Struthio camelus: one gene and its partners. The protein of the gene in region 1 purifies or fractionates together with the protein of each later gene. This does not show direct contact. Links are inferred from orthologs where the notes say so. Each region holds a gene or a part of one and is shown in the gene's direction. Other genes may lie near its edges.

What was found.
Region 2: the proteins of H2AZ1 (region 1) and ING3 purify together in Homo sapiens (affinity purification with mass spectrometry; 5 studies listed by BioGRID and IntAct, with this or other methods). This does not show direct contact. The link is inferred for Struthio camelus from reciprocal best matches to the Homo sapiens genes H2AZ1 and ING3.
Region 3: the proteins of H2AZ1 (region 1) and EPC2 purify together in Homo sapiens (affinity purification with mass spectrometry; 3 studies listed by BioGRID and IntAct, with this or other methods). This does not show direct contact. The link is inferred for Struthio camelus from reciprocal best matches to the Homo sapiens genes H2AZ1 and EPC2.
Region 4: the proteins of H2AZ1 (region 1) and TRRAP purify together in Homo sapiens (affinity purification with mass spectrometry; 3 studies listed by BioGRID and IntAct, with this or other methods). This does not show direct contact. The link is inferred for Struthio camelus from reciprocal best matches to the Homo sapiens genes H2AZ1 and TRRAP.

What each region holds. Positions count from the first base shown.
Region 1 is NC_090945.1:27,838,020-27,846,326, forward strand, and holds H2AZ1 (histone H2A.Z), read left to right. Parts: upstream 1-5,126; 5' UTR 5,127-5,427; coding exon 5,428-5,430; intron 5,431-5,586; coding exon of another isoform or gene 5,587-5,667; exon of another isoform or gene 5,668-5,891; intron 5,892-5,905; coding exon 5,906-5,983; intron 5,984-6,436; coding exon 6,437-6,550; intron 6,551-7,019; coding exon 7,020-7,149; intron 7,150-7,296; coding exon 7,297-7,358; 3' UTR 7,359-7,696; downstream 7,697-8,307. UniProt on the Homo sapiens protein: Variant histone H2A which replaces conventional H2A in a subset of nucleosomes. Nucleosomes wrap and compact DNA into chromatin, limiting DNA accessibility to the cellular machineries which require DNA as a template.
Region 2 is NC_090942.1:26,308,653-26,315,953, reverse strand, and holds the start of ING3 (inhibitor of growth protein 3), read left to right. Parts: upstream 1-4,027; 5' UTR 4,028-4,223; coding exon 4,224-4,251; intron 4,252-4,422; coding exon 4,423-4,494; intron 4,495-7,301. UniProt on the Homo sapiens protein: Component of the NuA4 histone acetyltransferase (HAT) complex which is involved in transcriptional activation of select genes principally by acetylation of nucleosomal histones H4 and H2A.
Region 3 is NC_090947.1:43,603,441-43,610,622, forward strand, and holds the start of EPC2 (enhancer of polycomb homolog 2), read left to right. Parts: upstream 1-3,998; 5' UTR 3,999-4,258; coding exon 4,259-4,411; intron 4,412-7,182. UniProt on the Homo sapiens protein: May play a role in transcription or DNA repair.
Region 4 is NC_090956.1:8,614,375-8,621,587, reverse strand, and holds the start of TRRAP (transformation/transcription domain-associated protein), read left to right. Parts: upstream 1-3,987; 5' UTR 3,988-4,056; intron 4,057-4,246; exon of another isoform or gene 4,247-4,442; intron 4,443-4,795; 5' UTR 4,796-4,849; coding exon 4,850-4,949; intron 4,950-5,333; coding exon 5,334-5,383; intron 5,384-7,213. Other genes in the region: TMEM130 (transmembrane protein 130), read right to left, coding at 1,065-1,355, 3,711-3,876. UniProt on the Homo sapiens protein: Adapter protein, which is found in various multiprotein chromatin complexes with histone acetyltransferase activity (HAT), which gives a specific tag for epigenetic transcription activation.

The sequences.
Region 1 (8,307 bases):
TTCTGAAGACAGGCTCCCTAAAGCTATGTTATAGGCTCCTCGCTTTTGTTGCGTTACACATGCTGAAAAAATGAAATAAAGGCATGCTTCCTTAGTGATGTGATGTGCTCTAGCATAGATCCCAGATAAGTCCCAGAAAATAGAACGGTAGATCCGTAAGGTACATCCAAAATGTACATCTACCCTGTACTTTGCAGATAAAGAAGAATGAACTCTGTCCATACTCCAAGCCGACTGGACACTGGAAGACAATGGACAATGGTAAATGTAATGTTGAGCTTCACCTAACAAGCACAGCTGAAAAGCTACATAAAACATGAGCATGGCAAGCCCATATCTGCTCACAGAAAGCATCCTCTAGACATGGCTGAAGATGAGATTCTTGGGAGCAGAAGGCCAGCTGGTGAGACTCAACCAACCAGCTGCTTGCTCTGAGACCGTAACCAGGTGATTCAATGTCCCTGACTTTCAGTTCTCTGTCTCTAAAGCGGAGACAATTCTTACCTGAGAACTTATGCTGTAAGACTGCCTTCCTCCTAATGGGGATCTGTATAAAGCGTGCTAACACAGGGCTTACCACTTGGTCAGAGTTAGTAGGTGTTGCAGCTGGGCAAGAGCAGCACTCAACCCAGGTCAGCTTACTGATGGGAATCAGATAGTTGTCACACCCCATGTCCAGGCATGGCTTTGCTGCCTGAGCAGATGCCTGCGCCCATCGCTTGGCCATATACCCTAGTATATCATAATCCTGGCCTGTCTATTGGATTGAGTGTAATTGTACTGCAGTGACAGGTCAGTTACAGAAAACAGTTTAGTATGAATGTAGTGTTTTGTAATCAAAAGCATCAGAAAACGTTAATACTGAAAACCTTAATACTAATAAAGCAGTGTACAAGTACTGAAGCAAATGCAGCAAAACACTCTTCATCACTGGCCTGTCAGAGATAACAAAAAGGTACTCCAGCAGGCCTCACTATTGAGACTACTGGGCATGAATACTACTACATCAAGCCTCTTCCTTCCCTTTCTACACCCATTGCATCACCAGATTCCCCATAACCTTACCTATTGGAGGGATTTTTCACCCCATTAAAGGGACCTATCAATGTTAATTGGACCAATAAAGGCTAATTTCTCAGTTGTGCCCCCTTGAAGCATATTCCCCTCTCTCCCCAATGAGGCAATTACTTTATAAAAGCTGGGCAAGATAGTCAGGTTGGCAGTTTTGGGGGTATTGAGAAGGAGCCTGGTTGTGTCAGGAGGATGGAGGTGGTAAGTGTTCCCTTTGCATACAGGGGATTGAAATAGGAGTTATCTGTGTTTATAAGTGGCTCTGAAGTTGCTTTTGGACTAATCCTAGAGTACTTGCATTAGTTTTACTTTATCTCTTTAAATAGTGTGGGGGGGGAGGGATTGCTGGTTATGTTGAGAAGCTTGTTAGCTAGTTTAGGGTGATTAGAGACTACTTTCATATACGATCCTATCTAACATATGTCTCACCTGATCTATTCAGTATCTATACATCCTTGTATTAGCTTAAGTAGCTACCTACCCTGATCTTTGATGCATGCTAAGAGGGGTTATGCTTGCTTTAAACACATCAGTGCAAAGCACCATCTTCAGTTTTATGCTGTCTTGCCCTTGTAGTGCAAGCTGGAACTGTAAGAGGCCTTAAGTGGCTAAAAGCATGCAGCTGAAGCAAACTGTCAGGGAGACTTGTGTGGGAAGCCAGGAATGTCTGTGGTAGGGATTATTTCCATCTGGTAGGAGTCCTCTTTGTTCTGTTTCCTAGGACTTCTGTGGACAGAAACCAGCAAGAAAATTAATTTTTTCCTACTGCATCCAGTATACTATTACCAGAGGGTCTTATGGCCTGGAAATGGGCTTCTGTTTCCTTTAAGGAAGAGGGTGAATTGATCCTTGCTAGGCACTTCAGACAGAACCCATTTTTTTAAACAGTAGGTTGAATGAAATCCTAACTTCTGCAGGCTTCTGTAAAAATCTTGATTTTTTTTTTTTAACATTAAAAAAAAAAAAAACCCTTAACTTGGAGTTTGTTGAAGGAAAATATAAATAACTAATGCTTCAAATAGATAGAGGCACCAGACAGCAATATAAAAACAAAACGCCAAATTCCTGAATGTAGGAGTGTCTGCTCTTAATGTGATCCTGCCTTTGTGCTTGTGCCTAGCTAGATAGAATTAGGTCTCTACCCTGAAGTGGGACTAGCTAGCATAAAATGGCTGAACTGAAACTTGGAGGTAAAGGGTAGTGATGATATGATCTGGGACTGTTTGAAGACTCGGGCAGAGTCCATTCTGCCAGTGCACTGAACACATGGCTCTGAAGAAAGAGCAGCTAAATGACAATGCTCCCTGGGACTCGGACTCCTGCTCGTAGGTAGCTGGTTAGCAACTAAAGACACCTAAACTATTAGCTCTTCTGTCTGTTTTGCTGATGTAAAATTGCTCAAGCTCATAAAGTGGTTGTAAGTGTCAACTTGATTTGAGACTCTTATTGCCATGGCTGACATTCAATAATAGGTACCCTGGTAATGAAGTTTAAATCTTTACTATTTTAGTATATAGCAGAAAAGACTTTGAGGACGAGCTCTAGGCATCAGCAGTTAGACATGTATCTTAGAACTCTGTATCTTTGGCTTGTTATAGATAGGAAGAAAGAAAAGTTGTGGAGAAGAATAGCCTTACATAAAGTTCATGTCAACAGCTCCATCTCCTGTTAAACTTCAGTCTGTAAGAGTACTGCTCTTGCTTGGACTCTTTGATATTGAGGTTTAAGGAAAGACATATTCACATCTGAAAGGGTAATTTGGTGATTTTTATTAGTAAAGTGTATGACAGACTGAGGTAGTCTTAGCTCTAAACAGCTATTCATTCACTGAAGTACCAGGACTTCTGCCTGAGCATGTTTGATGCTCCCAGGTGAATTAGACATCATCTAAAACTAAGATCTATCATGTTTTGGAATTGCACCATGAATAGTTAGCTTTTTAGAGCTGAAAGAGAAATTAACAGACAAAACCTACAAATCATTTCTGAGGTTAAATGGCCAGTCTGCTGCTTTTTTTCTGCAGCAGAAATAACTATACTGCACTGGAAATGGCACCTGCCAAAAAAATGGGGCTAAGGCTTCATTTCAGGGCAATATTGGCAGGGTTTTGAAGTGCCCAAGCAAAGGACATCTGCACTGCATTAATTTAAAGTTATACTTGGAAAGAACTGAATTCAGAATGAATGGTTTAACTACAGTTTGAAATATTCAGTAAGATGAATGGGTCTGAAGCAGGGTTGCCCTTGGTAATCATGTGGCTCTTACATAAGACTGAGGTAAAAATAAAAACTAGTGCGTGTGTGCACAGTTGTTTGACATGCTGGCACTTCCCCTCCCCCAGTGTCACAAGCAGTTGATGTGACTTCATCTCTGCTGAAACCACATTGGTTGGCCTCATGTGTTTGCCAATATAGCAATAGCACCTCATCCCAAGTCTGAGATGTAACCTCATTCCGTCTGCTTCTAAACTGCTTTGTACACTAAGTCAATTAACTTCATTGAAGTGTTTCAGCTGGCAACATGATAAATTAAAGTGTGAAGCACATCATGTTCAGGCTCTCAGTCGAAGAACTGACTGAGAATGATTATCAAATAGTATCTTTGTATAGCATAAAGACCCCCTTATTTGTAGGCTGCTCTGTAATAGCACAATCTCTTCCATCACCTTAAATTATACATTGTGAGAGTGAGTATACTTTCAAGTAGCTTCATGTGACTTATATTCTCTCTGAAGGACCTCAACAGACTATGCTTCTTGCAGAAGCTGCCCGGCACCATGCATTTGCCATATAGCTGTAACAGAACTATGGTTGTCTTTGACTGATGTTTAGTACTTCCTTTATAGGGTCTTGTCAGACTTCCTGCTCTTGGGTGTCCAATGGGACATGGCAATAATTATTTATAAGTTTAGGCACTACAGTAATATCAACTAGATGAGTTCTGGCAAACACTTCTCATGCAGGTAACCCCACCAAGTCCTTAAACCTCATCTGCTTTCTACTATGAATGCCACATTTCCTAACCTCCTCTGATCCCTGTCATCTCCTGCAGCTGCAATAATGGTGATGGCAGCTGGAATAGGAGAAGCGCTCTGTGTGCTGCTAAGGGTTGCACACAATTGGCTTGCCTTTGCTGCCAAAAGCAGCAGGTGAGATAGGAAACACTGTTGCATGAGGGAAGTGTGGGGGGGAGGTTAACAATTTGATTTATTCCTGTTCAGAAGTCTGGGGAGGCCTTCAGGACTTGATTTCATGTCTTGATTTTTTTTTTTTTTTTTTTTTTGGGGGGGGGGGCAGGTGGGAGCCAGGTGCTGCTGTATTTGGGGTGGGGAAGGCTTGTTGTGCGCACACACGAGCATGCGGATTATGCAAGGCTGCAGCTCTGACTTCCTGATAGAGAAGGAAGGTGTCTGCAGTCTGAGGTGACAACTGAGTGGGTGCCATTCAGATGGCAATTTTACATCAGAGCACACTTCACATATCTTGTTAATCTGACTTGAGCTCCTGAGAGCTTGAAACCTAATAACAGCGACTGGTTAAGCAATGCTTTTACGGCTATGACTCTCCCACCTAGCAGCACGCAAGATGCTGAAAAGGCTTTTCAGAATCTCGCTGGCTAATACACAGCTCATTACCTGACAGGCGCTCAGCTTCTCTTTTAAATAGCTGCATAAAGCCATCAAGCACAGCTCTGCCGGGGCGTGCCGCCGAGCTCCCTCGGGGAAGGCGTCTTAACCGCGCCGAGTAACTGGAAAACGGGGGCGGGGGTGGGGGGGGGCACGACACGCACGGTTCAAAGCCGGGCGGCCGTTACCCGGCTGCAGCGGCGGTTGGGGCCGAGGCCCGCGGTTTCCCCGCGCGGGCGGCTCGGAACCCCCTCCCCCAGCGGAGGGCCGCGCCCCCCCCACCCCCCGCGGCGCAGGCACCGCCGGCCGCCCCGAGCGGGCGGGGCCCCGGCACAGCCCGGCATGGCGGAACAGGCCCCCCCCCTGCCGCGGCGCGAGCCGTAGGCTCCTGCTCCTTTAAATGTGGGCGGGCCCTCTGCGGAACGGCGCCGCTCGCCAGCGCCCCCCTCAGCTCTGTCGTAGCGAGGTCGGCGCGGCCCCCCCCGCCCCTCCCATTGGTTGTCGCCGTGCGAAGGCGCCCCGCCCCAGCCTGCGGCGATTGGCTGGCGGCGAGGCTGGGGTTCCCGGATGCAGGCGCGCTCGGCGGTTATAAAGCGCCGGGGGAAGGCGGGAGCGGGCGCAGTTTGAATCGCGGCGCGTCGGGGCAGGTCAGCGTTGTCGCCTGGGCTCGGTGCGTGCGGGACGCTCTTCTCCTCTGTGTCCCCGTGCGTGGCGCTACGGTCCCGTTCACGATGGTGAGGAGCCGCGCAGGGGAGGGGGGGGCGCGGGGCCGCGCCGCCTCGGCGATGGCAGAGAGCGAGGCGATCCGGTGGCGGCAGTTGGGAGGAGGTGGGAGCACGCGCGGGGGAAGGGAGCGAGTGAGCGCGCGCAAGCAGCGGCAGGCGCTTTACCTGCCGGTAGGCGGGGGAGGGGCGCGCGGAGGGTCGCACGCGCACTGGTGCCGCCGGGGAGAGGGAGTGGCTGCGGCGCATGCGCCCGGCGAGCGGCCTGTGCCGCTAGGTGTAGCGGGCAGAGCGCACGCGCCTTGGCGTAGCGCGTGCCGCCCTGCGGGAGGGAAGGGCCGGGAGCGCATGCGCGGGTAGGATGCCGCCGCTGCGCGGTCCCTGACTGAGACCTTGGCTGCGGTCCCTGACAGGTAGGGGAGGAGAGGCGGGGGATGTAGCATTGCCGCGGACGTATCTGTTCTTACACGTATCTCTTCTTTGTTAGGCTGGTGGTAAAGCTGGGAAGGACTCTGGAAAGACCAAGACCAAAGCGGTGTCCCGTTCTCAGAGGGCTGGCTTGCAGGTGAGCAGAGACTGGGGCATGGGCAGATGGAAGTCAGGTTGGCTTTATGCTTGCAGGTGGTACCTTTTGAAATCTGGACAGGCTGTGCCTTCTGTCCATTATTTGGAATGGTGTAAAGATCTGTTTGATCCTCAAATATGTCAGTGTTTGGCTCAAGCATGCTCTGGACTTGCTGTACATCTGTGCTGGGGAAGAGAATTGCCTTGCGGTTGCTACTGCTAGTGGTTTGTGAAGTGAAGTTGCTGATGTCGTCTGGGGAATCCAGCTAAGGACACTGTATACTAGGTGTTGAAATGTAGTCTTCTGTGCTACACAGCATCTCTGGCACTAGAATTCAACTAGCACCAGTTGCATATGCTAGACAACAGAATCCCTGCAGCCAGAGTATTTCAGAATAGTGTTTTTCTTCTGTTTCTATGGTGACAGCCTACTCCTACTTCTCTTATCTTTCAGTTCCCTGTTGGCCGCATCCACAGGCATCTGAAGTCAAGGACCACCAGCCATGGGCGTGTAGGAGCTACAGCTGCTGTGTATAGCGCGGCAATCCTGGAGTACTTGACAGCTGAGGTAAAGCTGCTGCAAGGGGTACAAGCAAGTTGGTCAGTCCAGCTGAAATGGTGTAATGACTGGAGTCTCCTGTATTTTGCCAGTTCAGACTGGGTTATGAACTCTTCATTTGCTTTAAGCCTGTTTTGTGAAGTACATGCTTCTTGAGGAGACCATAAAGCATGTATGGAAATTTTTGCTCTGGATTTTATGCAGAGCAAGTAGCTGTGGCTTATGTTGAAGACACAAATGGTGAAGTACTTCATAAAATGTGCAGTTACAGCATGTTCTGTCTGCTGCAAAACATCATTCTTTCCTTGGGGGAAACTAAATCCAAAGCTCTAAAAGAGGAGCTGGCTAAAAAAGACGCATTGTTTGATATCTTTTTGTCGGTAACTATACAGTTGTTGTAAAGAAGGAAATTGCTAAAGCAATGCAATTGGTCTCGTGTGACTTGCTTAACTCAATCTGAAAATGTTCTTGTCTTCAGGTTCTTGAGCTGGCAGGAAACGCATCCAAAGACTTGAAGGTGAAACGTATCACTCCCCGTCACTTGCAGCTTGCAATTAGAGGAGATGAAGAATTGGACTCTCTCATTAAGGCAACAATTGCTGGTGGTGGTATGTAACTTGCTTTCTAACTTTGTGTTAAGTGACAAGGAGTCCAGTAGTCTCAAAGGTTGTTTAATCTATTTGAAGTGTAAAGTTTAGCCAAATCTGATAACATGGAATAACTTGATCTTAATTCTTGGTATTGTTCTCTCTTAGGTGTAATACCACATATCCACAAGTCTCTCATTGGAAAGAAAGGACAACAGAAAACTGTCTAAAGGATACCAGGATTCTGTGTTATCTCAGGACTCTAAGTACTTAATTGTCCAGTGTTGGTGATTCCAGTGGACTGTATCTGTGAAACACAATTTTGCCTTTTTGTAACTTTGAGAAGCTAAAGCTCACCGAGCTTTCTAACAAACCAAATTTCTGCATTGAAGTCTTAACCGTATTTAAGTGTTACCATGGCTTCAAAGAAGCTATTGTATTTGTAGTGGGTTTTGATTGAGCTGACTGTTTTTAGATCGGTTTGATTAAGTAAAGGAAATGTTTGGTTTTGTACAGACTTTTCATCCACTAGAGTGGAAATATTCAATAAATGTTATATCAATACTAATTGTCTCATGTGCTACTGGAAAACACTTGGTCTCAATAATGGAGCCCTGAAGAAGAGTAGTTCCAAGAACACACAGTTGTGACAGTTCTCCAAGCTGCGAAGTACTGCAGGTGTCCATTTTCAAATGGAAACATAGTCCTAGAATTCTGCACTTAGTAGATACAGCCATCTCTGAGTGACATGGTGTGCATGCTTCACCTCATGAGGTTGAAACAGATTCTTAATAATTGAGCCTGATGCATAGAATGACCTTTTAGAAAGGTATATCTGAGGGCTCTGCTATTTCGGGACAGTGTTACTTGCTAGTAACCTTCCAGCTATCGTGGATGAAGAAGAATGGGAGCTTTTTGACTGGAGGCTGAAAATATAAACTTCTGCCTGCATATTTCTATAGCTTTTCTTCTAGTGAAGGGCAATGGACAAGTCTGTAAAAGCAATGAGAAATGTACTGCAGTAGTTTCCACTGGCTCATAATATACTTTGTGGAGGAGTCTAAAACACTTCCAAGGTAGCAGTCTGCTGGGGGTGGGGGGGTTGTGTGTAGGTGTCTGGTTTTTTTGTTGTTAAGCTTGGCTGGCTGCTCCGTCAACAAGGCCAAGTGTGAATGCTGG
Region 2 (7,301 bases), on another chromosome or scaffold:
GTACAGCTGGAATGACAGTTATTTCCTGCACAGTGAGAATGAGGCTGTGGAAGAAGAAGGGGCAGAATACGGGAGATGGTGAGGTCCACAGCTGCTGAGAGGGACAGTTGGACTGCAAGAGAGGAAGGTCTGGAAAGAATGGAAAGGTAACAGCAGCAGAAAGAGAGTAGGCAACAAACAGATGAGGAAATATTATAATAAAGTAGTTGAAAGCCTGTAAGGAGACCAAGGGCCTGATGCTAACACTGGTATTCAGACAAAACTCTGTAAACTGCTAGGAATGTTGCTATCGGCAGCAAATGCTCGCTGCAGCACACCGTGGTGAATGGATTTCCGCCAGATAGGACTGCTGTACTGCAAACGGGGCAGTGCCAAAGAAAAGCAAAATTCTCGCATCCAGTATTTTAAGAGCTGCCTAGGCTGGTACTTGTACACAGGCTCTGTTGCACCATTACTTAGTGCTGGCTGGCTGTCACTGTCTCTTAAAGCTCTTTAGCGAGCACAGTCTAGACCTCAGTAACAAAGAGCTTTTGCTTCACATTGTATGTTAGCAGTCTTTGTGTGCAAAGGGGACAGACTCCCATATGAGAAATTCAAAGCGCACAAACCTACCAGCAGTAGCTGAGACCTAGGATCATCAGTCTAGGGATGGGCTAGATAGGTCTTTCCTGATTTTTTCAAATCAAAGTATTAGTAAACAGTCCTTGAAAAAACAAGCAAAACACAAGGACTATAGGTTTAAAAACACTGGATTAGGTAAGAGTTAAAAATCAAAGTACCAAAGAAACTACGCAACAGTGACACTCCCGAATAGGTATAGAAAGCCCCTGAAAAACATATAGCTTGCAAGACAGACAGAATGGATAGGAGAAGGACAGTGAATGGAAAGAACAACTGATTGAGGAGGAACGGGAAGTTGGACAGAAGGAAGTCAGAGACTTGGCACACAAGCCTGCAAGTGGGAAGTGACAGAACAGAATTATGGAAAAAAAGACATCACAGAGATCTGGAATGGGAAAGGACAGATGAGAGGGAAAAGACAGAAGAGTCTGAGCCTCATCTAAGAAATGTACATCAGAACATAAATCCATGTTTTTTAATCTTTTTTTCTTTCCTGACAGCTGAAAACTAATGAAACCTATGCAAGCGATTAGCTTTAGGTAGATCACAGAGCAACTGCAATATTCCTTTATGCCATCATTCTGCCACAAGTGATGAGACATGATTTATGTGAAGCATTTGCAGGACAAAGGCCATCAACATTAATAATGTTACAGTTTATACCAGCAGGAGGAAACAGCAACTCCTATGGCTTCCATTCTTTCCTCTATGCTAAGCATGTCTACTGCTATATGGAAGGTTTTTTTGAACAATGTTGATTGCAATTCACAAATTGAATTTCTTTTTAGCTTGAATTCACAGCTAGTGTTTACTTCTTTTTTAAATGCATTTGCATCCCAATAAACACTGTCATTAATCCCTCTTTCCCTGATCAGGAGCTGCTCTAAATAGGTTGTTCCAATTAGGCTGTTCTGAAAGTCAGGTCTTTACATTTATACACAATAGGAAGCTTTTCACTGTAAAAATATTGTTCCTTTTGTACGGCCTTTAAGGCTAATCACTTCTTAAAGTGGCAATTTAAACTCTGTTCTGTCAGTCTGCCATGATGAGCAGTAGTTACTCACACAATCCCACTGAATTTGGTTGGCTATACACTTGAGTATACAGTGTGAATTAACACCGGCAGAAATGGACTATGTGACAATTTCTCCAATTGTACAAAAAAGAGACTACAGATAGATAAAGGAGTTCATATTTGCTTTTCAATACTGAACAAAGCTAAATTCTATTTTCACTCATACTCTACATTATCCCCTCCCATCCCCTGCTGTAAAGCACTACAATGCATGATTTTTAAAGAAGCTTCCTAATTTTACAAAAGTTGCTGACACATTCCACTAAAACACAAAGGGGGCCACTCCTGCCTTGGAGATAGCAGGGTCCAGCCCCACCAGAATCTTGTCTTTGTCATTCTGTTGGCGTGCCTGAGTCCCATTTTCCCTTGCCACTCATGCGGACGGTGCAAACGCTAGCATTAAAAGGAGTGACTGAGACCCAGCCTCAAGCAACGTGTTTCTTAGTTTGCTTCATTTGGGTACCACAGTACACAGGAAATATTTGAAAACACCCTATCACACTAGCTCTTGGTGAGCATTCTGCTGACTCTCCCCAAGCCCACAAACTCAGGCACGCAGCAAACTCAGGCATGAAAGAGAGAGTTATTATGCAGCAAATTCAGCACAGGAGACGGTTACAAGTCCCAGCATCCTGGCTGTCCTGTGATTTCGGTCATGGGGCACCATGGTGAGACTTTACCATATAACTGTGCTTCAGTTGTAGTTCTAATGGTGGAGTTGTTTTGTACAATATTTTTGTACAATATTGTTCTCTTAAATATCTGTTGGATATGTATGTATACATACATATCCATTTTGTCTACTATAAAATTTTGTTTTCAGTCTTTAGGGAACATTAAAGCCATCACTGAAAACGAAAAAAGTGACCCCCATCAATTCAGATTTCCCTAAATTCACCATCCTTTTCTCCTAATGAAAATAGGATATGATTACTTTAGCTGTGCATTTGAATACGCTAAGTTATCTTGCCACATCGAACCCTTTCACTTTAATAGAAGTGTAGCGATTCATTTCCCAGGAAGGATCAGAGCGTTTGTCTTCCACATAACAACAGGGGCACAAGCAATTTCTCACACAGAACTTCAAAAACATTGTCATTCCTATACCAGCATGTTAAAATTTGTACTTTAAAGAGTGCAGATGCTTTCAACTATTGCTCCTGACTGATACTTACTGGGCTTAACTGCATCTAAAAATTGTTCAGCGGTATTTATGACATTAGTCAATACTTCTGTATCAGCAGTGCAGAACAAACAGCTAATTGATGGAATGAAAATGGAAAGCGACCACTTAGGTATAACACTTTTCCAAGAAGTTCATAGTTATTGTTATACTTTTTTTTTTTTCATTTACAATAAGGTAGGAATATAAAAGAATGCTTGGCTATATATTATGTTTTTGAGACAGAACTAAAATGAAAATCTTCATAAAAGCCACACACAGAATTTAAGCTCCAGCTTCCAAAATTAAATCATTTTTAGCTAATTACTCACAACATATGTACTTAAAACATGAGAAAAGAATGCAATTTTCCCTTCATCCTGACACTCAAAAACATCCTGCACTGTTTTTTTCTCACACTTGGCTAAGCCATATACTTCCTTTCCTTGCTTGGATGCATATGGCGCAGATGACCAAACGAAAAGATAACAAACATGGCAGAAAACTTGTCTTTTCTGGTATGGCAATTCTTACGCTGCCTCTATCTACATCCGGTATCACCCACTCCCTGAAAAGTCCTCCCCACCATCAAAAACCATATTACACCGTAGGAACATCTGGACAAAAACAATCACTGTCTTCTACGCATTAGCGCATGACTAGACCAGGAAATACAATTAATGATAAAACAGCGATGAAATAAAGGTATTCCGGGGATTGAAACTGCGGAAAAACTTCAGCTCAAAACATTTAACAAGTAAATTACAATAAGAAGCCTTGTAACTTACTCATTTCTATCTATTTGCTAATTATTTTTTCTACACTAAAGAGCAATTCCAAAGCCCACAGATATCCCATTATACCTGTAACTTTTATTACTATCTATACTACTCTTTTTCTGGCGAAAAGACAGCGCACGGACTCTAACATTAAACTCCAGGACCTGGGGCTGTAAGAAACCCCCAGTGACAACGCAGGGCACAAGGGTCGGGAGGCAGCGGAGCGGCCCGCGGTAGCTACGCGGCGCCCCGCAGCCGCCACCCCGCCCGCCCAGCTCCCCCCACCGCGCCAGCAGAAACGGGAGGGCGGGAAGGAGCGGCCGCCGCAGTGCATCATGGCACACGTAGTTTCCCGGCCCTTCCCCGGGCAGAAACTACATTTCCCGTGATGCCGTCGGCGGCGCGCGAGGCACGGCGTGCGTCAGAGGCGCGGGCAGCCAATTGCGGCGCGGCCGAGCCGAGCCCCGTCAGCCGCCAATGTTGTTTTCGCTGAGTCGAGCTGCTGGTGTTGTTGGCGGCGGCGCCATATTGGAAGGGACGAGCCCCCGTTAGCGAGAAGCCCCTTGGCGCTCGCCCGGCCGCCGCCATGCTGTATCTGGAGGACTATCTGGAGAGTGAGTGTGTACGGGACGGGGATGCCGGGCGGCGGGGCATAGCTAGCGGAGGGGGGCCGCGGGGAGGGGGGAGCCGCGGCGACGAGGCGGTTCCCCCCCTCCCCCACGGCGGTGACTGACTTCCTCCCTCCTCCCCGTCTCCCTCCCCCCCGCCCCTCCGTGTGCCCGCAGTGATCGAGCAGCTTCCCATGGATCTGCGCGACAGGTTCACCGAGATGCGCGAGATGGACCTGCAGGTGCAGAGTACGTGAGTCCCGCCCCCTCCTCCTCTGCCCGCCCCCTCCCCTCCCGCGCTTCCCCTCGCCTCTCCTCCTCCTCCTCCCCGCGCCCGCCTGCGCCGCTCGGCCCGGCCCGGCCCGGCCCGCCGGCGGGGGGCGGCCGCGGGCACCGGCTCGCTCGCGCCGGGGGCAGGAGAAGAGGGGGCGAAACAGCGCCGCGGCAGGCGCTGCGGCCTGCCTGGGCAGCCCCGTTCCCCGCCGCCGCCCCGCGCGGTGGCCCGCGGGTGGCTCGCCCCCCTCCCCTCCCCTCCCCTCCCGACGCCCTGTCTCTCCGGCAGCGCCGCAGGCCGGTCCGGTGCGGGGGGCCGCGCCACGCGGCCGGCTGCGTCTCGTCGCCCCTTCCGGGGGGCCGGCAGCCAGCGCCGCGCCGGGCTCCTGGCGTCTTCTCCTACGGGAGAGCGATGGCGCGGCGCTGTCGGAGCGGGCGCGGCTGCGGCTGCGGGAGGCGGCGCTGCGGAGCCCCGGCGCCGCGCGGGGAGCCGCCGGGACGCAGCGAGGGGCGGAGCGCGCGCGCCTGGCGCTATGTCAGCGAGCGGGGCCGAGCCGCGGCCCCGCCGAGCCGCCCGGCCGCTCACAGCGCCGTCTCCGCGCAGCTAGGATTTGACAGGAGCTTCGCTCCTGGGCTTGTGCCGCTCCTTAAGGCGTTTTCGGTGGCATGTCCCAAACTCTTTAGACTTTTGATTCCTAAGAGCAGTGGTGGTGGGTTGGAGCATGAGTTTTATCCCGCTCTTCCAGCAGGTCGCTGTGCGCTGTTTCTGAAACCTTCCAGCCATCTCCCCTCATGATTGTACATGTGAAAATGTTTTCTGCCTAGTCTCTTGTGCCTTAGCTGGCACTTACCAAATATACGTCCACTTTACGTTTCTCTGTTGATCTTTTTGTATATCTTGTGTTTATATCCTGATTTCAGATGCTGCCTAATTTTGTTTTCAGGATTCCTTGCCTTTTGGTCTCATCTATGACTTATGTCAGGATGCTAAAGGATTCTTTGGCTCTAGTTAGGTGTTGCTGTCATTTAACACACAATTAATATGGTCATGACCATAATGCAAAGCTCTTTGTTGACGAAATTGTTCTTTGTGACAAAAGTTGCGAGGATTCATCAATACAGAAGGACTGGGCAATCATAAGGAAGAATGAGAGAGAGAAAGAACAAGGATTGAAGTAACAAGTTGGTGCAGTGCAGTAGTATGAAATGCAGCACCATGCTTACAATATTTTGCTGTCTAGGAGTGCAATAGGTCAAACAATAGTTTGACCTATAATCCTTTCAAGTGAGGTCTCAAGCTTGATCTGAGGTATTTACTTTAATGATTCCAGCTGGTCTGTTTGACAGACTTTATTAATGTGTGTTGAACTGGCTATAAGTTTTTCTGTATACTGTGGTGTAAGTGCTATCCTGGCTTCAATGCCAAAGCCAAAGGACGTGAACAGTGGCTCAGGAGCTGAGCAGTAGGAGATAACATTTATGAAGTAAGTGTCACTAGGGAGCACCAGGAGAGGGAAGGAAGCAGCTCGTGGGCTTAGGTAGTTCCAAATAAGATCACAAATTTGCCTTCTATTGAGTATGGAAACAAAGCTAGTACTTAAAGTGTATTTCAGGACGAGCCGACTAGTGTTGCCAAGGCTGCAGTACTGTCGTTTCCTCTGCCATAACTGGAAATGGCAAATGACACTAAGTATTTTATACTAAGTTCAACCTTAGGCCCAGATTGAAAAAAACAAATCTCTTTTGGACCGTAGTACTTCAATAATTCTTGCACAATGAGTGACAAAACATCCCAAGACATTACAAAACTCCAGAACTCTCATCTCTTCCATGTCAATTGCCAGACAGCCAGCTGAATGTTCCGTATCAACCAGATTATTCTGATGCTGTGAAATAGTGACTTTCTGTGTAGCTTCAGTGTCTCTGACGGCCTTGAAAACAGCATTTATGCAAGGGATGCTGTCTCAGAAAACTACAAGAGTCATAAAGCGATAACTGCACTACTGTCAGAGTTGATACTGACTTTATAGTCTGTCCTTTGTGGGGAACATGGACTTCTAAAGGGACAGGTGTTGCTTCTTGTCATTGGAATAAGTATAGGCAAACCAACTGTATCTATTTTACGTCTTGATAATACCTGTGGGAAAGGGAAGAACATCCAAGTTGTGACTTTGACTGTTGATGTCCAACTAAGACAGTTTACATGTGGAGCTTAAAATGTCTTTATCTATTTCAGTTCAAGTCATGGATTATCAGGCCTCCGTGATAAAATGTCAAGCTCTGGGAAAAAAGTTCTCTATTCTAGTAGAATTTCTGGCAACTCCCTTGCGAAATCTGTTCTAAGAAATTATTATGTCAGAATGTAGTGTCACAGTAGGCTTAGAAGGGGGCAGAGGGAGAAACAGAAAAACTGAAGGAACTTACATATACCAGAGAGAACCTTTGGATAATTGAATAGGTTCTCTCCTGTGTTTCCCCCTTAACAGTCCTAACCTTTCAAGAGAGTCCAAATTTCTTTGAAAGTTTTCACATATGCAATTTCACACAGAGTGAAAGGTGTCCTCAGTAAAAAGTAAAGAGGGAAATTTTTTTTTCGTGTCTGGGAAGCCATAATAATCTTGCTGTTCCTCACCTAGCTGTTTTCACTCTTGGAAGAGAAGATGGAGCGTTTTATCCTTGAGGTTTAGAGACCAAATTATAGTCATTTGGCCAAAGAACAGAGCTTTTAGAAGCCTTCACAAAGTGTGAGCTGCTTGCTTCCTGTTCAGACTACTTAATTTCTC
Region 3 (7,182 bases), on another chromosome or scaffold:
TTTTTTTCACAGAGACCAACAGTCTGGGAAGTCTGAAAAATAATCATGGCTAGAGCAAATATTACTATACTTGCTGGGAGCCAAACCATCAGTTCTTGGGTTTCTTTTTCATCCTGACTAACAGATTTCCATAGATTTCCACAGATATATGTGTGCAAATTAAATCTGGCTATTTCTGGTCCATCCAGCATACAAGTGTGTATATTTAATTGCATTATTTTACATAGAAAACATGAAGACAATTCAGGATTCAACTACTGAACAAATTATGTTGTTTGCGACATTGATTCCTTGATTTGTGCATCAAAAGTAAGCTATTTATCTCTAGGTCAAATGCAGCTGGCAATTATTTCTACAGCTAAAATTCTTCAGAAAATCGGTAATATTTTGCAAGGTGAAGAGATAAGAGTATGTACTAAAAAGATGTATGGTTCTGGCTTAAAGCTAAGCTACATAGTATTAATATAAGTTGAAGCTTTAGTTTTACTCATGTTCAGCTATGTGCAATGGCTTTTTTCACTATATAAAAAAAGCTCAGTATACCACAGGGCATCTTTTAAAAAAAACTTGCATTGTGCATAAAAATAAAATAATGGGACCAACAGCCACCTTGAGGGTAAATATGCTGCATCTTTTTCTGTTTTGATTTAAGCAGCGAAGAACGAACAAAACATGCACACAAAGGGGGTAAGGTTATTAGTATCTATGGTTCAATTGTGCTAACTGAAAAAGCAAAAAAAAAAAAAATCTTATGGCAGTGTATAAAATGCCTCTTTCTTGCTGGATGGGAAGCAGAAAGAGGAAAATCCTTCTTGTCAGTTAACTACTTGAGGAAGTACCTCAGAAGGAACTGCCTGTCCCATGCAGCTAGCCTAACCTTTCCAAGTGCGTGTTATTTGTACAGCAGGGCTGCAACTATGTAACTGACAACTAAGGAATCTATATAATGGGTGTTTTTACAGAAAATTCATGAACCATGAACTGAAAATGCATTTTATTTACTGACACCGGAGTTCATGCCCCTCATATACTTTGTCAACTACTCTATCCTTATTTTAATTTCTACTTTCTCGGGCTCAGGTGGTGGGACTACATTGCTATACAGATCAGCGAGGATGAACAGGATGCACAGTTTCCCCCCTCAGAAAGAGCCTGTAAGTTGAATTTGACTGAAGATCTGAATATTGGTCTTTCGGTGCTACATGGTAAGACTGAAAATCCAAAGCTCATGCAGAAGCACATTGCAATTGCTCTCTGAAAAATGGCAGCCCTCAGCTACTACCAAGCAACTGTTAATCTGGGGATATCAAATCAATTTTGGGTGGTGGAAATTTGGCTGCTTCTCAAATGGTGCTTAACTAAAATATAAATTCGAAACTGTAAATTACACAACTTCAAGTGTTTGTGCAAACAGAAACATTGTCAGAAGGCACTGTCAAAAATTAATCAAATCTCTACTGCAGAAGGAAGTTCAGAACCTGAATCTCTGTGGAGTAATTCCCATAACAGAATTGCTCCTGATTCGCAGTAATGGAAGATTCAGAGGTGCTGCTGTAGATCTCCTTGCCTGGCTTAAATACAAGTTCCGCATGTTTTCTACTGTTAGCACATGGCATTAACTCTTGAAACATGCTCCAAATTTTCAGCTGATGAAGAGTGAAGCCGTCCACCTCCTACACAGGTTTGGCAGCTATAAGCACATAAGATTGGTACTTAGCTCTCTGAACTGGTTTATGATATGCTTCTGCATGAAGGGTGTTAATTATAATCCAAATCAAGAATTGTCTCTTTATGAGTAAAAATATTTAAAGGAAATTATAAATAAGGGCAGTGTATCAGTATTGTTCTTTGTTCCTTTTCTCATAATCTTTGATGCTTCACTTGTTCATATGACTATTATTGAACATTAATCTGATGCTTTCATAGAAGTAGCTAACATAATTTCCAGATCTCTTTCCCAAGCTAATGCAGTTCTATGGGTTATGTAGGTAAAGTTATTGTCATTTCTTTTTCCTCTTGTGCATTATTGCACTTGATCCATCATCTCCTCTATTTCTCTCTCTAGTTGATGCAATTCTTTATTCTTCATTTTGTAAATGTTGTGTTTATCATGAACAGGAGTTGCATTTAAACTATATAATTACCAAATGCATCAGGTAACTAATAACAAACTCTAAATCACTCTGCAAAATTCAGTGACTGAACTTACTTAGTCAACGTTTTTTAAAATAAAAAAAATGGAATGTTATTCTCGGTTGGCATGTACTCCAAAGGGAAACATGCTCAAGTTTTATTTGACTAACAGTTCAAGCTAGTTCCAGAGACAGAAGATTGTACTGACAACTCCTCTAAGAGCTATAAGGAAGAGATGAGGAAAAGCAGCTGACCTGATCGCAAGGTGTCAGGATAATATGCAAGTGATGAGTATTTGAAGTACTAAAGACCTTTTACAAAGGGCTTTGCAGATTAAAGTCACTACACTGAATAGATGTGGGAAGCTCTGAAATGGTAGAAGTCTGTAGCCTTGTTCACACGGGCAGCTCAGGTTTATTCCTTCCATGTTGAAAGTACTCTTCGGTAAGCTGGGTGCCTTGTTCCTGTTTAGCTTAGTGTACTTTGCAAGTGGGCTAAACCAAATAGGAACAGGGCACTTTTATAGCAGAAGCATGCCAGCGCATACAACACACAGCTATCCTTAAGTAACTCCAGACGTTGACAAAACTTTAGTACAAAATTTCATACGTGAGAAATTTTGTACCAGGATTCTGCAGTATACGGACCTTCTGCCCCTCTTCAAGGCTAAGTCCATGTAAAGAGCAATACAGGAAATCGCTCCTGAAGGAAAAAAAAATCCTGGGCAGGCATGAGCTTATTTCTGCACTGTTAGTTTGTGACATAACTGAAGTCTGTGGCCTTTACCCTATCTTGTTTTGCACAGCACACATTTCTAACTGAAGCAATGCTTAAACAGTGAGCAATGCTGCCTTACAGGGATGTGTTGAAGTCCAAAAGGTAGCGAGGGAGCTGTGAACACAGCGAGGACCGTGTGATTCTGCGGAGCTGAAGCGCTGCTGCACAGCATGAACGCTGTCTCTCACAGGAGGCTGATCGTCCCTCACACAACGCTAATCTGAGGGAGGGCGGTTACGTGCCACCAAGTTAACTTATGTCAACCTAAGTGAATTCTCTTCACCACTGAAGATGTTTTTATTGCTAAAATCTGTTGTAATCCCAAAATAACCGATGAGCCCGCGTAATCCCACATAAAAATACAAAGAAGGATAAAGACGTTAAGTTTCACCGCCAGCAAAACTTGCTACGGCTGCACTCTTGACAGGTGTCACAGAGCTGCTGCTGGGGAGCCACAATCTGCCTGAGGAGGCTGAAGCACCTGAGATCATCTCTGAGAACAAGGAAATTTCGTCCCAGTGAGGAGCAGCCGGGAATATACTTCGAACGTACTACGGGAGTAGGGGAGTGCACGGTGCGTCTTACGCCTTCTCGGTGTCAGGCCGTTTCCAGAGGGAAAATTTCCGGCCGATCGTTTCGGGAATAAAACACCCGAGGTGTCAGCCTGGATAAGGCGTGAGAGTTACCTGGCCGAGGGGACGAGCTCGGGTCCTGCGTGCCACCTCCGGCTCTCGGGCTGGAGCCCTGCGGCGGGAGGCGAGCGCAAGCTGCGCGGTTTAACGGCCCCAACGGTCGGCGCGCGCGGCCACAGCGCCGCGCAGCGCCCACCCGCCTCTAGTGACGCACTCTACCCCGCCGCCCGAGCCGGGGGACGGCGGGTCCCCTCTCCCGGCTCGGCGGGATCGGCGCCGCTACCGTCCCAGCCCGCCTCAACCGCCCTCCCCTCACAGCAGCAGCAGCAGTAGCAGTAGCAGCAGCAGCAGCAGCGCCGCCGCCGCCGCCGCCGCCGCCCGCCTCAGGCTGCGCGCGCACCGCGCCTCCCCCCCCACCCCCCCTCCCGCCCGTTCCGAGCTCTCGCGTTGGCTGTCGGGATCGCTGGCCGCTTTGGTTAATGTCCGCCATGTTTGCCATGGCGCAGGGAGCGGATCGAGCGAGCCCGGCGCGGATCTAGGGCTGCGGGGCGTGCGCTGTGAGCTACGGGCGGCCCCGCGGAGAGCTGTTCCGGGGCGGCGGGACCCTCCATGGTGTTGCGGGCCGGGTGCGGGAGCGGCTGGGAGGCGGCGGCGCGGCCGCAGTGAGGGGCCCCCCCGCCCGCCCGGCCCCGGGGTGTTATTGTGAGGGGGAGACAATGAGCAAACTCTCCTTCCGAGCCCGGGCGCTAGACGCCGCCAAACCGCTGCCCATCTACCGCGGCAAGGACATGCCCGACCTCAACGACTGCGTCTCCATCAACCGGGCTGTGCCGCAGATGCCCACGGGCATGGAGAAAGAGGAGGAATCGGTAAGGGAGCCGCGCAGGGGGGGCACCATTGTTTATCAGACACCCCCCCTCCCCTCACGGGAAATAGGCCATTGGCATTCACCAAGCGCACTACGCACGCTCCCCGCCGCGGCGCTGCACGGCTCTTATGGGGCCCTGCGCAAAGAGCGCAGCGTAAACTGCTGTCCGACGCCGTAAGCGGGCCCTGCTCCGCCATCTTCTTTGCGTCCCGACTCGCGAGTGTTTTGATTAGTGGGGGGGGGGAGGCGGGGGGGGGCAGGCCTTTACGTTAGCGTAAGAAGGAGGAAGGCGCAAGAGGCGTCTCTGAATGAGCGGGCGAGCGTTGGGGCCGCCGCTGGCGTAGCGCGCCTTGGCTGCCGCCGCTCGCCTTGTGCGCGCGGCGGGAGCGGGCCGGGCCGGGCAGGGGGGGCCCCGCGAGGGGAGCGCGGCCGCGGCGGTGCGGCTGCTGCTGCTGCCGCCGCGGCCCCCGGGCGGAGCGCCGAGGGACGGGACGGGGCGCCGGGACAGGGCAGCGGCGTGCCGAGCCGGCAGGCCGCCCGCCGCGTTAAAGCACGCTGGTTGTGGCAGATGCGCTGCTAATAAATTCTTGGTAGTTTTTGGGAGAAAGCTTTTATAAGAACGCTTTTTGTTCGTACTTGGGCGGGGGAAGCGTTTCGTGCTGCAGAGTGTACGCCAGCTGTCAGGCACGGCAGCTGGATGTGTTGCATTAAGCATTATGCTTTTAAGCATTTAGATTTTTGGTTTTTTTTTTTAACTAAGCAAGTTTTAAAAATACGTACGCGATACTTGTTCTCCTTTCCCTAGTACGATAGAGAGAAAGAAGTTTTGTCCCCTTAAGGCAAAGATAAGTTTCTCGGGGTTTTCAAAGCATTGGTGCAGCACTTTGGAAGTGTATGCCCACAGCTCTGTTGCTTGTGTGTGCTGTTTTGTGTTACTGATGCTTAAACATCGACTCCTATGCTCCTTCGAGTTGTGTCTAGCTTAGACTTAGGTTGTTGCCCTCATGTGTCTGCACTTGCATGTTGAGCTGATAGTAAAGGCACCCTCAAGAGTTTCTTCAATGAATCCCTGTCTCCGCCTCAGCCAAACCTCTGTGCGTGTGGATTGGCTTTTCAGAGGTTACAGCTGTCAGAGGAAGCTTCGTGCCTTTCCGATTGGCTTTCTCACTTGACTATTGATATTAGAAGTCGTCCTTCTCTCTCTTACCGTTGGTTTCTTCTGCTGCTTACTTCACCGTATTGCAGTCTGTAATGCACTGTGATCAAAACTTCCAAAGAGTAAATCTGCCCCAGACTCTGAGAGCGTATTTGAAATGAGCAGCGATGTGATACTAATGCAGCAATCTTGGAGGGTAATATGGTTTTCTTAGATTTCAATAAAGTCTGCCTTGTAGTCCTCTGTTTGCATTTGATGTTTATTAAGTGTGGCTTATTTTAAAAAATGTTTTCTTGCTAACTCATATTTTAAATTTGTTAGTGGAAAAATTTCTCTAAGAGTTCAAGCAAGGTGCTTGTGGGCTGCTTAAATGACTGTGAAGAGGATTAGATTTATACTTTAATAAAACTGCTCTAGTGTTATACTAAAATGTTTCTTTCTGTATGTTTTTTTCCTGCACTGAAATGTGGCTGTACTTGATATATTATGCCATAATCTCAGAATGACATGGTCATTGATGCAGTATACAAGCTTAATGCTAAATACATCAGCCAAACAATATTATTAACAGATTGTTTATATTATTGCCATGTAATGACAGTTTCACTTAGGGTATAGGCCTTTCCCTGGGTTGCACAAATAATTTTTTGATGTAGATTTTTGTGTTAGTAGCACGTAAAGCACCTCTGGGAAAGGCTGCTGTTGTAGATGACAGTAGTTAAATATTCGAGGGCTTCACTTTAAACAGCTTTTATCATAGTAAGCGTTACTCAGATGTGATTTGGTCTATTTTGAGAGGGACTTTTGGAGGAGGGGTATATACGCATACTCCTTTCTGACATCTCAGTTACTTAGGTGTCTCAGGACCTTTTTAAACTCAGACTTCTGCCAGGGATACATCCTGTGAAAGGTGGCTGAACCATTAGGATAGCTCATGATTTGAACTTGCTGTACACAGACACAAAGCTCATGTTACTGTGGCCCCAGTATACTTCCATCCTTGGTGTGCTGCTATATCTGTAAAGCCTCAGTGAAAACAGAAGGATCTTGCAGTACAGTGGATCATGGGGTTAAGTGTTGTCTTCCAGATCTGATTTTTAACTGGAAATAATTATATATATTTACAGATTTCTCAAGTTTTAAAATAGCTAAGGTTGCTCTGTTTGTCTTGCCTGCTGTTCTTTACAACCTAGTCTTGCTGGTACAGGCATATGAACTGCTTTGTTCGTGATTAATATTTTATATATACAGAAATGCAGATTTTAGTCCATTTGTTTTTAGTGTGATTTATTTTTGGTGATAAAGTTTTTATTTAAGTAGTAGTATTGTGTTTGGAACGTGGATAGGGTTAAAGTTCAGGGAATTCTAATCATTGTCACCTGCTTCTTGTATTAATACTAAGGTTATTTGTATTAAAATGTCATAAATCACTGCTTTTGCAGAAGCACAATATAAGCCACCAGCCAGCCCATTCCAGAAAACAGTCCTGCTCAATGTGAGCATGAGTGTCTTTATCTGGCTTTTCTTTTGATTTGATCTTGATGAATATTCTGGAGTTATTTCCCATTTCAGTATCTTAGAGATTTGCATCCACTCATACAACCTTTTAGAGATCA
Region 4 (7,213 bases), on another chromosome or scaffold:
ATAATGAGCTGGTCAGCGTATCATCATGACACCTCTTTATTCATAGGTTAGAAAATTTAGATCATTCTCTTGTTTGGGGAAGGCAGAAGGATACAACAAGATCTTACCTTAGCTTACCATAGCTATAAAAAATGTCTATCCCTTTTTCTAGTGACATGAGACTTTAAGTCAGTGCAAAGAGAAAAAGGAATAAGCAGCTATTCAGCAAGGCAGCAATTTTTAAGAGAGAAAAGATCTTATGTATATTTTTATAAAGGCTTTCCCTTGGCGTTTCTCAAAGAAAAATTGTAATAGCTATTCCTCAAAATGTCAGGTAGGCTCTTTTGTCATCATTGATGTCCTCATGCTGCTCCTCTGCCGCTGCAGAACGTGGGGTCGGTCTGTTTTGGAGCGCACAAGGAGAGCAGCTGGGACACATGGCTGGAGGGACGCGCTTGCCTGTCTTTGGAGGAAGGGATCACGGAACGCTGTCAAAGGATGCTTCACGTTGATCCCTGCCTCAGAGCTTAGGCTAACCACACTGCCCCATGTGCCAGTTTGTCCAAAAGTGCCTGTTTATGGCTATGAATATGACAGTAAGATGCAATTTGGAAAGGCAGCCATGACTCCACCTCTCGTTTCAGGATGATCATCCTGAACTTTGAAAGAAAGTGTAACAGCTCTGTCATGCTGATGGCCTAAGTTTTTCTATGTCATGCAAAAGGGAAAACTAGTCAATTGTGGCTCCTTCCGGTTGCCCTAACAATGGGACTCGAAACGCTGAGCAGCTACACAGGCAGCACTGGGTATCACCAAACAGCACTGATGCGTGACCTACAGCTACTGGAGCGTCTGGTTTCTAGCTTGGTTCCCCTAAGCGAGAGAGGCAGGAAAACACGGGCAGCACCACGCTTGCTTCCCGGACGCAGGGAGACAACGTGGCCTGGTTAGCACACGGCCTGTCCGAGATGGCCTTTGCTCGTTCTGATACTAGCAAAGGTAGTGCAGCCACTGTGATGTAGCTTGAATTCCTGAAGAATTCAAGAAGTCGTAAAGAAGCTGTAGAAGTTGTAAAGCCATTTTACCTGTGATGTGAAGTACGGTGACATTTCTAGCAACAGGCCGACACAACCAACAGTTTTTGTGAGTCACCCAGACAGATACAGGAAAAGTCCCAGGAAATTCACCAGTCACATTAATCAGGGAGTGAAACCGCTGCTCTGATTTCTCAATGAGAATCAGAGGAGCATAAATCCAGTTAAAATGATAAAAGTGTGAGGCCATTCTGTCATTCTTCATACTTAGACTGGCACGAACAGTAGCTTGAGCTCCTGTTGTGATGGGACCGTTGTTGGTTATTTCCAGATCATACTCCTCTGCAAAAATCAGAAGAAAAATCTCTTTGTTTTGCAATTTTTATTTCTTCACATTCTCACTGGTCAGCTGTAGTTACGTGATTCACGATGATACTAATGCCAGCTAAGACTTTGCCACCTTTTTTACCATGTAAAAGGCTAGAACTGAAACTGTTACGCACATATATATTTGAATTCAAACAGGTAGCATTAAAGAACATCTAGGAATTGGTCCTAGAAATGTTAATAGTAAGGGGTAGCCTAAACAAAAAATGTTAATTTGAACATCCAAAAAACTTTGAGGAGGCTTTATAGCTAGAGCTGGGCTATAATCTAACATTATGTTCATTAGCAATCTAACACCATACTCACTAAACTTCCATCCACTTGAAAAGCTTCAGGTTCAAATCTAATCCGTGTTGTTTCAATTCTCACTCAAAACAGAATGGAAAAGTCACGTGCTGAAAAGGATTTGTATGGCAGAGGAAGATCCTTTGCAAAGGAAAAGGCAGGCCAGGCCAACCTTGCTGAAATAGGCTAACTTTCAGTGTGCAGGCATCTGCAGATGTAGGTGCATGCTCACTAGAGTTTTCAAAAATATTTCGGCGCCTTATACCTGTTTCTACTGTTTGGCATTAAGCGTCCATTCTGAAAATTGCATTAAACATGAAAATAACTTAAACACAACAAAATAAAAGCAGTTGGTGCACTTCCACTTTTTTTTTTTCTTTTTAAGACCAGGGCTGTAGTGAGGAAGTCAAAGGTGAGGACACTGCAAAATTCTCTGCAGTTACAGAAAGGACAAATTACCAACTTGCTTAAAGAAATCTCTCACTGGGCAAAGCCTTGGACTAAAAATGAACTTTCAGGCCCAAGCAGGATTTCATGCAGTAGTTTCCTTTATCAGCTCTGCTGACACACAGGTACCCTGGTACCCTCCACCTTCTGCCCAAGTATGGAAACTCAGTACCAGCTACTTATCTATGGTCTACTGTTAACGTCCCTTTCTAGGAAAGGGCCAAAGATTTCAGTATAAATGAAACTTGTGCATTTGAAGCTGTAGCTGCTACCAACATCCTAGTGTTTGATCAGTTCAGCCCTCAAGGGCAAAAAAAAAAGGGTTCTTACTTCATGGCTTTCACAACTGGAACAGCGAGGTGCAAGGGGGTGCCAAACTCGTGACCTTGAAAAACAGCCCTGCTGCTCTGCCTTGCTCCCCCTTCTCTTCCCTGCTGCATTTACACAAGCTACTTACTTACGCTCTTACAACTACTACATCGGGCAGAGCTGGGCAAGGTTTGGTTTTACGGAAAGGATACTAAATTCAGTTTTAACCGGGGGTTACATCCCCAGGTTTCAGTGCTGGGAAAGCACTGCTGCACTTATTTTGTGGGTTAAGAAATGGCAGTGCGACATTAAATGACTTGCACATGTTGGAACAACAAAACCAAATGCAACAACCATGGAGGGCTGGGAACTGGGAGAGCTGGGAACAGACTGTTTTTTGCCTCCCCCGCGGCGTACCCATCCTCCTCCCAGCAGTGTCTGGCTAGTTATCACCTCGCAGGAGCCCAACAAAGCAACGCTGAGCAGAGCGCTGCACTGCTGGGGCTCATCACGCCGGGGACTCGGCAGAACCTCTGAACTGCAGAAGTTGCACTTCTCGCCCACCTGGGGCCTCTAATGCAGCGCTCGGGCCGGAGGGAGCGCTGGGGTCAGCTAGCCCCTGCATGCCTTTCGCGTCCCCCTCCGAGCCGGGGTGGTAAGAAAAGAGACCTCAAACATCTCATTAGGCCCCTAATTTCACTCCACAGATCCCAGGTGCTAAGCAACATTGGATGCAAAAGGATGGAGGAAAAATAACCGCAGCATTGCTTTCTGAGTGAGAACTTCACCGTTCCCACTTCGTAACATGAGAAAGGCCCCGGGTTCACAAATTTTGAGCCAACAGAGAAGCGCGGGTGATTGAATGAAGTCTGACACAGGGAGCTTTCAGGTCTCCAGAAGACTCAGGCTACCCTCCGCTTTGTTTGAACAAAGCTCGGACAAACGGCCAGCGGCCTTGGGCTAACCCAGCAGCTTCTCCCCAGAGGCGGTCAAGGCACTCCAGGCCAGCCGGGGCCAGGCTGGAGCCCCGCGGCTGCCGCGGCTGGACAGCAGGCAGCTAACGCAAGGTCGGGCCGTGAGTCAGCGAGGGCTCGTCCAGCCCTCGGCGGTCCTGCGGCTCCCCAGCCCCTTGCCGCAGCACAGCCGGGGGCTGCGCGGGCAGCAGGAGCCTTTTGGAGGGGGCCGGGAGGCGCAGGAGGCAGGCGCGGCACCGGGCACCTGCCGCCGCCGCCGCCGGGGGGGGTGGGGGGTCCGCCCGCTCCGCCTTACCTGCGGCCGAGCCGGGGCGGCGGAGCAGCAGGGCCAGGCAGCTCAGCCGCAGGATGCCGGCGGCGGCCATGGGCAGGCACCGCCGCCGCTGCGCCACCTCCGTCCGCGCCGCCGGCCGCTTCCAGCCTGCGGCGCCCGGCCCGGCCCTGGCGGGGACAGCCCCCATCCCCGCCCCGAGGCCCGCCGCCAACGTGACGGGCTCCGCGCAAGCCGCCAAGGCTTTTTTTTTTTTTTTTTTTTTTTCCCCCCTCAAAAACACCTCAAACCAGCCCAAACCCTGCCCCGCGGCGAGGGGGCAGTCCCGCTCCCGGCCGACAAGGCGGCGGGTTTCCGCGGCGCAGCTGAGGTACCGCCCGCGGCTGCGGGGCTCCGCCGCTGCCCTCCGCGGCTCCCCGCGCCGCCCCGGTGACCCCTCGCCCGCCGGAGGGAGGGAGGGAGGGAGGGCGGCGGCGGGGCCGGTGCCGGGCGAAGCCGCCCGCGCGGGGCCGGGGGAGGCGCGGGGACCGCGGCCCCGCCCCGGGCCGGGGGGCGGTGGCGGCGGCGGTGGCGGCGGCCGGAACTGGGCTCGGGCGCTTCCGTTGCGCCCATGCGCCTCCGCCGGCCTCCGCGCCGGGAGCAACAAAGGAGGGGGCCCGGGGCCGGGGCCGGGGCCGGCCGGGCGCGGGGTGAGGAGCGGCGGCGGCGGTGGCGGCGCCTCGGCGCGGCCTAGGCCCGGGCCGGCGCTGAGGTGAGGTGAGGCCCGGCCTGGTCCGCGGGCGGAACCGGCGCGCCGCGGGCAGCGGCGGCAGCAGGAGGAGGAGGAGGAGGAGGAAGGAGGGGGCCGGCGGCGGCGTTAAGGCCGTTCTGGGGCGGGCGCGATGGCGGCGGCAGGTGCGGGCCGCGCCGGGGGTCCGCTGGGGCCTGGGGCGCCTTTCCGCCGCCCCGAGCGCCAGCCCTTACGGATCAGCCAAACTAAGCGTGACAGCTGCCATGTCGGAGGAGATGCGTCCCCGTCTAACAAACCCGAGCCGCGGCTGCGGGGGCAGCGCGTCAGCTGCTGTTTGCCGGTCGCATGAACTTGAAGAGGTGTTTTGTGTTTCTTGCAGGTGTGCTGGTGTCGGCTGTGAGCGCTGAAAGCAGCCGGCCCCGCCGCCCCCGGCATGGCGTTCGTCACCGCGCAAGGGCCCACCGTGGTGGACCAAACCACTCTGATGAAAAAATACCTGCAGTTCGTGGCCGCTCTCACAGATGTCAACACACGTAAGATGCGCTTTTTTCCCTCTTTTCTTTTTTTTTCCTTTTGTGCTGCGGGTTGCCGTGTTTCCGTCGTTTGCTTCACAGACAGGGGCGGCGTTGGCTAGACTAGCGGGGATAAAGGCGTGCTGGATTCGCTTTGGATTTGGTTTGAGTTTTGATTTTTGAAGAAGCAAAGTGATGAGTAATATTTGCATGAGCCGAAGCGAGAGAGCTGTGTGCGTGTGCCGTTGTATGACAGAGGGATGTTTGTGAGAATCGTGTGCCTTCTACCTGGGCGGTGATAGCTGGACTGATAAGATCTGATTGCTTCTTTGATCGGTGGAGCTGGTGTCCCTTCTACGATGTAGTTTTACATTTAATTTCTTTTGCTTCAATTTCCGTTTTCAGCCGATGAAACCAAATTGAAAATGATGCAAGAAGTCAGTGAGAATTTTGAGGTAAACTTAAAAAAAAAATTGCTTCCTGAACGATAGTCCTTCTTTTGCCTAATGTATGTCAGCTTGATTTCTGATGTTATGTGTAAAGCTTAATATTGTGTCTTATGATTTATCTTGTAAGTCACCAATGTTAGGATTATATTTATGTATGGAAATCTTCATTTTTTATTATGTTTCTGTCTTGTTTGGAATTAGCAAGATTATTGAAGAATTATGACTTCTGGGCTTGGAGATCTCTAATCTTTTCTCGATAAATGTTTAAATAAAGGTGATGTGATAGATTTTTTTTTTCTTCCATTTTGGCTAACTATCTGAAACCTATGTATTTGGAACTTTCTTTTATTTAATTCAAATATATATTTGGTCCTCATGAAGTAGAAGACTAGATAGGCCTTCGCAGATTTTTCTGCATAGTTTCATAGCACAGAAGTGAGGGGGCAGTTGTCCAATGTGGAATCTGACATTAGAAGTGAAGACAGTTCCAGTGACCTCTTTTGCATCGTAATAGACCATCAAGTTTAGATCAGCAGCAATGAAGTTAAACTAACTATGTGTTCATGGGAATTGTACTTTTATTGAGTACTGAGTTACTATGTGTCTATTTTGAAATTACAGAGAACTTGTTATTTTGTAATGTAAGTTTAAGGTCTCTGAATCACTGTAATTCTCTGTATCTAGTTTCTTAGTTATACTGCTTTGAAAATGTGCTTGTGAGAACAATGCCCTGCTGTAACACACTCTGTTTTATAAACTTCATTTGAAGTGATCTCTGTTAGTCTGAGATGCTGACACAAAAATACCCATTCCAGTGCTGTTTAATGTCTTCAAATATTTTTCTGTCAGCTTTGCGCAAAGTTACGTCCAACAGGTTGCTGCATTCCAGTGCTGTTTGTGCAAGGTTGTACCAATTTCAGTTGTTCCTGTGCTATTAATGGAATTTCCTGTCCAGTGAATTGTTTGATTTAGTTCAGGTTAACACAGAGGAATGCAATTTGAGCTAGTGTAACTGTATGATAAAGAGAATTAAAAGGCGAAATTCTTGTTTAGCTTGTGTGAGCAAATAAGTAGACATCTGTGATCTGCGTCCATATGTCAGGGTGGGCAGAGCTTAAGTGACTGTCTAAAATGTCCTTTTGGAGTTTCAGTATATGTTTGCTTCAAAGATGGCACGCCAGCCTAATTTGATATCTGACTAAAAGAGTAGCTATAATGGCTTTATCTAGTGATCTCGCTGAAATCTGAAAGCTGAGCTGGTTCTCTTTGCCCTTGCCATCAGTAGGGAAGAACTTGTTCAGTATTTCTTTTGATAATGTTCAAGATAGAGTATTTTTCTTCTCTTGGAACTTGCTTGGTTCTGTAACGTGACCCTACGTATAAAGAGGATGAATTGACTTATGCTTAAGCACAGTTTCGTTTGTATGGAACTACGAGGGAGCAAGAGGAATGGCTAATATAGTGGTGGTGGTTTTTTTATTTTTGATTTTTTTGGAAGAGTGCAGAAGTTACTGTTGCCGATCATTCTGCTAGCTCTTAGATGGACTCCTTTCATCTTGTGTTTCCATAGTGTCCATTTTAACTTTTCTCTGTCACCTACTTCCATTTCCATTAAGTGTAAACTTTATTAGTTTTCATTTTTTACTTCTGTAAGTGAAGAAATATTTTTCACTTCTTAACTGTTTGTTGGAAGTTACGGTATTTGAAGTCTGTTGGCTACAAAATTAATCTCCATGCCTCTCTAGCCAGGGATAGAACTGGATGTGAATTAGTGAGTATGACGGGTTTTAAAGTGAGATTTAAGACAGGTACTTCACCCTAACATTATCCACTTGA